Linked DNA regions of Oryctolagus cuniculus. Each later gene encodes a partner of the first gene's protein in a complex. Links are inferred from orthologs where the notes say so. Each region holds a gene or a part of one and is shown on either strand. Other genes may lie near its edges.

Region 1 (3,646 bases):
CTAATGAGGTGAGAGGTTTGTTTCATAGAGGATTAATTCACAATCTCCATCAGGAAGCTATAAAAATAGGCGAATTTACTCTGGCCTCAGGATCAGCCCTTAAGGCATCCGTATCTGGCTAAAAAGCCCATGAGAGTTTCTCAGGCAGGAAAGCCAAGACACTGTGGCAAAAATTGAACTAAATGAAAGATCTCTGTGAGTGAGATCCCAGTGGAAAGAACGGGCCATCAAAGAAGAAGGTACCTTTCTCTGAAGGGAGGAGAGAACTTCCACTCTGATTATGGCCTCGTCTAAATAAGGACGGAGTTTATGAACTCAAGAGGCTTCCATGGCCTTGGCAGCTCGTGACAAAAGCCTCGGGTGATTACTGACGTCATAAATAAGAGTGTCAGTTGTTAAACCAACAACAGGAGTCACTGTGTGCTTACTCCCCATGTAGCATCTCTGTCCTTAATGTGTTGTACTACGAGAATTAATGGTAAAACTAGTCTTTAAACAGTACTTTATACTTTGTGTTTCTGTGCGGGTACAAACTGTTGAAATCTTTACTTAGTATATACTAAGTTGATCTTCTGTATATAAAGATAATTAAAAATGAATCTTAATGAAGAATAGGATGGGAGAGGGAGTAGGAGATGGGATGGTTTGTGGGTGGGAGGGTGGTTATGGGGGGAAAAGCCACTATAATCCAAAGGTTGTACTTTCAAAATTTATATTTATTAAATAAAAGTTTTCTAAGAAAAAAAAGGTGAATTTGGTGGCCATCTACTTTTATAGTCAGGCATCCAGACTGGGGTTGTGTAAGCAACACTTAAAGCATCCGAGAATCTCATGCCTGTGGGTGCCAAGATTGTGTCTATGTGCAGTAGCATCAGAGGCCAGTAGAAAATGTATCAGAAGAACTAATAAAAAAAAAAAAAAAAAGAAAGAAAGAAAATGTATCAGAGTGGGGAATGTCCAGCACATAGGCCATATAAAGGCCATGAAATCGTGTGGTCTGGCCCTGCCAAGGCCACCACAGGCGAGACTTGAAATTCAATAAATGTATGGCAGACTAATTTTTAAGTTGATAATTTTATATGATCTGCAAATGATGTTATAAATATTCAAATGACCCTTGGCAGGAAAAGGGTTCCCCACCTCTGATGCAGACAGATACTCAGCGTGCTGAGCAATTGACTCAATGGGATGATGGATAACAGAGGACTTACTGATGGAGGTGTACTCATTTTGAGCCTTGTTACTGAACCTTGTTTTGAGGAAAAGAGTTTATCAAGAGGGTGGAAAGACATCCCAGGTGGGACAAAGCACGTGGAAAAGCAGTGAGGAGCTCCCGTGGATTTTGGGATATTTGCCCACTTAACCTCTTCTTTATTGTGTTGGCAAGAGAGAAAGCTGTTTGGATCTGGAAAAGTTTTAAGCCCTTACATGGAGTTTATTCTCTCTGCAGGATCCAGCAATCAGCCTGGCCTTTTGGCCAGTGTTCCCCAACCAAAAGCCCAACCCCAACCTAGCCAGCCTCTGCCACAGCCTCAGCCCAAACAGCCACAGGCTCCGCCTACCCCACAGCAGACGCCTTCCACTCAGGCCCAGGGTCTGCCCACTCAGGCCCAGGCTACTCCTCAGCACCAGCAGCAGCTCTTCCTCAAGCAGCAGCCAGCGCAGCAGCCAGCGCAGCAGCCAGCGCCACAACAGCCAGCGGGCACATTCTACCAGCAGCAGCAACAGCAGCAGGCCCAGACTCAGCAGGTGAGGTGGCCAGCGTGAGCCTTGCTGTGCAGAGCTGAGTCGTGACGGTGAACAGGCCCGCTAGGTACAAGGGTCTCCCTTGGGGAGACAGAGAGCTGTTAACCGTTCTACCATTGTTTCTTCATCACTCATTCCCACCCTTTCACCACCCTTCTCAGGCCATTAGCAATCTATCAGCTGATTGAGGAATCTTGCTGAAGGAGCTATTTTCTAAAGATTCTCTGTTTCCTTGTTTGTTTTTTTCCTAACCTAACTATACCACCATTACTATACTATATTGGGGGAATAAATAATAATAATTTCTTACTGTTGTCAAACATCCAGTGGTGTTTTATTTCTTTTTTTTTTTTTTTAAGATTTATTTATTTTATTTGAAAGGCAGAGTTACAGAGAGAGAGTGAGAGATAGACCTTTCATCTGCTAGTTCACTCCCCAAATGGCCACAATGGCTGGGGCTGGGCCGATCTGGAGCCAGGAGCTTCTTCCGGGTCTCCCATGTGGGTGCTGCTTTCCCATGCACATTAGCAAGGAGCTGGTTCAGAAGTGGAGCAGCTGGGATTCAAACCAGTGCCCATATAGGATGTCATCACTGCAGGCAGAGGCTTTACCTGCTAAGCCACAGTGTTTAACTATTTCTTATGTCTCGTAAATTAAGTTGGTTTGTTTGAATCAGGATCCAAAGTCCAGGTATTAATTTTAGTTGATTTATATTGTTTTGTTTTCCACTATTTTTTCTAGTTTTTCACAGTGGACAAATTCATTGTGTAATGATTGCTGTAGCTTTTTTTTTTTTTTTTTTTTTTTTTTTTTTTTTGGACAGGCAGAGTGGACAGTGAGAGAGAGAGAGAAAGGTCTTCCTTTTGCTGTTGGTTCACCCTCCAGTGGCTGCCGCGGCCGGCGCACCGCACTGATCCCATGGCAGGAGCCAGGTGCTTCTCCTGGTCTCCCATGAGGGTGCAGGGCCCAAGGACTTGGGCCATCCTCCACTGCACTCCCTGGCCACAGCAGAGAGCTGGCCTGGAAGAGGGGCAACTGGGACAGAATCCGGCGCCCCGACCGGGACTAGAATCCAGTGTGCCGGCGCCGCAAGGCAGAGGATTAGCCTGTTGAGCCACGGCGCCGGCAATTGCTGTAGCTTTTAAGTCCTCTTTCATACATAGGATTTCTCTCCCTCTTTTTTTTCTCTTTACAAATTATTTTTTTAGACACTGGATTATTTGTCCTGTAGGATTTTCCACATTCTAGATTTGGCTAATTGTATCTCTGTGGTATCATTTGATCTGTTCCTCCCTTCTCTGTGTAAACTGGTCATTTCTTGAGACTTGCACAATATTTTATTCTGTTTGATATTTCTTTGCTCTTCCTCTTCCTGTGGCATCGTATCAGGAGGACTGTAATATCTGATTGCCTCTCTTAAAAAGATCAATCCATGTGTTTGATCCATTTGTTTAATGTTCCCCATTATCTTAGAAGCCATTGGTGGTCATTTCTTAAGTCTCTTAATTCATTAGGAATGGCAAAATAATATTGCAGGACTTCTTCTTTGTTTAGGGGCTAGGATTTTTCTATGGGGAATTTTCGCATCAACTATTTAGTTACCCTGTGAGGAAGCTGTTTGAACAGAAAAGACAGGAAAAATACTTGAGTGTTTTCCTTTGTTTCCCAGTCTTCAGAATAATTCATTGTTTCCCAGTATTATCCAAAGATGAGCAATAAGCTTTTTGTCTTCTTTTGTTTAGTATATTTATGAATTTATGGATTTTAACATATTTGTTATCTATTAATACATTGAAGTTTTAAAAAACTTACTTGTGTTGGTCAACATTGTTGTCCCAATGTTGACCGGTGGAAGTCTCTTCAGAATGGCTATGGGTCCTTTGGATGTGGCTCCAGTGAC
Region 2 (3,673 bases), on another chromosome or scaffold:
GGCTCAGGTCGGAGTTCTGGGCCCAGCCCTGGCTATTGTGGGCATCTGGGAAGTGAACCAGTGGATGGGAGATCTCTCTGTTAGGAAAAAGAAGGAGGGGGGGAGGAAGGGAAGGTGGGAGGGAGGGAGAGGACGGAGGGAAGGAGGGGAAAGGAAGAAAGAAAGAATTGTTCTTTTCACATTTACAAGGCAATTCGCAGTGCAAAAGAATCTACAAGTTACTTTCCGGGTATTCCAAGTTCATTATCCGCATTTGCCTAGGAATAAATTCCTCGTCAAAATCGAGGAAACTTTCAGAAGGAGGAAAGCAGGTTATGGATCTGGATATAGAAAAACAAGTTCAAGATGAAGTGGTTGCAGCATTGTCGCGCGATGTTAGATTTCAGTGCTGCAGATTAGGGCTACCGATTTTCACCTTCCCGACAAGCAGCTTTCAGGGTCTGCTCTTCTCGGAGCCTACAACTTCTCTCAGAAGAATCCAGGCGGTAGCTGCTGAACTTGCATAGATAGGGATGTAGCCAAAGTCCTCTTCTATTTTTAGCCAGAGCAACTGTTGGCCAATACAACTTTCTGGGCAGAGAAGTGCACCCTCCTGCAAAACGGACACGCAGAAGGTTAGCCCTTTGCCAGGTCCCCTTTGAAATCCCCTCACACTACTCCCACCGAAACTCGATAGCGCAATTGTTTTCCGCAGCGGCTGCAGCCAGCCCCATCACGCGCGCGCCCCGGGCACCCCCTTCGCCTTCTGGGTCAGGGCTCGGAGCCCCACCGCGCTGCCCGGCTGGGGGCGTGGCCTGGCGCGAAGGGGCGTGCCCAGGGCCGGGGGCGGGGCTGCCGCGCCGGGAGGCGGAAGTTCTCGCGGGCCGCGGGGACGGCGCACGCACCGCCAGTCACTTGTCAGCGCTCGTCTGAGGCGGAGGCAGCGCCGCGCCGGACCCGAGGTGAGTGTCCGGCGGCTGCAGATGCGCGTCTCGGCTCTGTGGCAGAGAGGAGGGGAGAAGCTGGTCTCCTCGTGGGCCGGCTCGCTGAGGAGGAGGAAGGGGCGCACCTCGGGCCGGGGCGGCTCCTCAGGTGCTTTCTGGGCGCGGAGCGGCGGAGGTGGGAGAGCGGCCAGGGCGAGAGGAGCTCCCGGGAAGAGGCAGTGCGGGGGTGGGCGTGAGGCTGTAGGGCTAGCCCTGGCAGTTCGGGTCGGCCGGGAGGAGCGCCCTGGAGGCTGGGGGGTGGTGCGGGCGGGCTCCGGGGGGCTCCTGAGCCCCGCCGCGCCGACCTTCCCCTGCCGGCTGCCGGCGTGGCTGGGCGGCCCGCCTCGGGTCTCCCCACGACCTGCGCCAACCCCTTGGGGGAAGACGTGAGTTATTTTTGTGTGTGTGTGCGCTCAGGGTCCTGAGGATCCTTCATCCCCACCCCCCACCCCCAGTATTTACAGTTGTGTAACCTGTTCAGGGAAAACTTGTGCGCCCAGACATAAAGCTCGTTAAAAAAAAAAAAAAAAACAACTTGCCTAATTGTTGGGGCTTTTGCAAGGCGGTGCGTTTGACAATAAGTGGAAAAAGGAAGGGCGTATGGACTGGGCAGAACTTGGAAAGAAAATCCGTAGCCTGCGCTGGGCAGGGCAGGTCTAGGGTGTGATCGCCGGCTCCTATCCCAGGTCCGCCTCCCTGACCGCGAGGACGTCTGAACCCGCCTGCCACGGAAGCAGCGCGCCCGGGAGCCTTATTTGGCCAACAGGGCGAGGCGCGAACCTCGGCTGGAAACTGTCTCGTCGGCTACTTTTCGTCCTACGCCTGTGGCTTCTGTAGCTCTGCTCCATTATCCCTCTATTGGAGGGCAGGGGCCGGGGGAGGGAACCTCAAGATATTTCTTCCTAATTTCAGGCTCTACTTGTCACTTGGTGCAGATCATCGCAAGTTCTCCACCCTAAGAAGCTCGGGTACAAATGTGGCAATACCAAGTTTCCTAGTCCTAAAGTGAAGTTAGTGTGTAGACTTCACCCGAAAGGAATCCCCACGTTTTCTGTGTTTCAAAGCAGGTTGCTGTTTCCTGCTGACTCACTTATTTAGGAAGGATTTGGTCACTAATAGCTAGAGGGAGGAGACCCGGAAAAGACCACTACAACTATTGCCATGGCTTAGGGATCAGAAGGTCTTGAAGGCAAATGAATTGCAGGTGACGCTAGCAGGAGAGTCCAGCTTGGAGATGTCGCTGGCTACAAGTGCAAAGACTCTGGCCTCGTCCTGTGACTGTGACCTTGCAGGTCCTATAAATTCTGACAACAAGTGGGAGAGGTCAGGAAGGGAGTCCCCAAGTTAAGAGAAGTTGCATGTCGATGGCTTGATATATAAATTAAATAGATTTTCTTGTAGGGAAGAATGGGCTAGAGGAAGTTGAGCCTAAAGTTCACATACTTCCCCTGCTAGAAGTTAAAGATTAAAAAAAGGAGGGCAGGCAGCCTGCGAAAGTCAGTTGGCTTTACATGATTCTGATTTGTCACGTGTGCCAATAGCAAGATTTTCTCGACTACGCTACTAGTTTTAATGAAGATCGTCTTTTGTATTGCAGGAAAACACCACCTCCCCGCTATTAATTTTTCACCTACATGCAACAGTTTAACTTCTGGCGTGGCTTTGGGTCTTTTTAGTGCCTGTGTCTGCTACTTCAGTACTGAAGTAATGTGTTATTGCCTGCTAGTTTAATGTACTTCCACGCCATGGAAAAGCTCATTTAGTGCCTAAGTAGATACAGTGCAGATTTTTCCCTGATTTAATTTTTCTTTAAGATCCAGGCTTATTTGAAAGTTGGGTCTAATTTTCCCTTTCTGAGAAGAAGGAATCTGTTTGCTTTAAGTTTGAATAGCTGCATCTGTCACTCTGAATCTGGTGTGAAGGGATAGTAATTTTCAGTGTGTTAAAAAGTGGAAAAATATGTCAAGACAGGTAATATAAAGTGAATTTGGTTGAACAGCTCAGATTTTCCAAGGAAGTGTGTCTTAAATGGCTGCTTCCTAAAGTGTCTTTTAATAATTTTAAAATTATACACCTGTTAATATTTTTAATACTTTTAAAAGGAGAGACCTGTTATGTTTCTTAGTATTACATTAAAAAAAAAAAAAACTCCATTCCTCCCAATTTCTCCCATCCCTATAAAAACCAAAACACCCAATCAGACTTCGTTTTTTTTTTTTTAAAGTACAACCTTGAGAGTCATTAGGAGCACAAGCAAAAAAAAAAAAAAAAAGGAAAAAAAGAAAGCACTGAGGTGCTGATTCTTTTTTAAATCTCAGTTCAGTTTCATGTGTAAATGTTAACCCTGTGGTCCTATGGCATTCAGTCATAGTTGTATTCAGTGAGTGCTCACCCCTCCCTGTGAGAAATGTGTATGAAACGAAAAGCCGCTTCTGCCTAAATGTCACCATACTCAAGCATTTGTCATTGCCTATTTGAGGGAGAAGTGAATATTACTTTAAGTATAGAAGATACCATGTCCCTGGAAGTGGAAATACGAGTTGTAGTTCATGATTGGAGAAAAGAGTTTTGTGCACAGGAAAGCATCTTCTGTTTTAAACGATTTAGTGTTTGGAAAGCATGAATGGGAGCCTGCTGATTTGCAGCCCTGTCCATGTGTTAGAATAGCTTAGAATTTAAGTAAGTGAAATTGAAGGACTCTTGCCAACTGC

What was found. Proteins that work in one complex are often made in the same cells at the same time.
Region 2: the proteins of AAK1 (region 1) and PDLIM5 are in contact, whole or in part, in a crystal structure (PDB 9F6S), measured with the Homo sapiens proteins. The link is inferred for Oryctolagus cuniculus from reciprocal best matches to the Homo sapiens genes AAK1 and PDLIM5. Residues at the interface, in NP_055726.4 of Homo sapiens: Asp956, Leu958, Ile959, Asp960, Leu961; in NP_006448.5 of Homo sapiens: Ala12, Pro13, Trp14, Gly15, Phe16, Arg17, Leu18, Phe24, Gln67, Ile70, Lys71.

The regions. Positions count from the first base shown.
Region 1 is NC_091433.1:133,152,209-133,155,854, forward strand, and holds part of AAK1 (AP2-associated protein kinase 1), read left to right. Parts: intron 1-1,450; coding exon 1,451-1,749; intron 1,750-3,646.
Region 2 is NC_091439.1:71,014,092-71,017,764, reverse strand, and holds the start of PDLIM5 (PDZ and LIM domain protein 5), read left to right. Parts: upstream 1-787; 5' UTR 788-941; exon of another isoform or gene 942-1,071; intron 1,072-1,648; exon of another isoform or gene 1,649-1,930; intron 1,931-3,673. UniProt on the Homo sapiens protein: May play an important role in the heart development by scaffolding PKC to the Z-disk region. May play a role in the regulation of cardiomyocyte expansion. Isoforms lacking the LIM domains may negatively modulate the scaffolding activity of isoform 1.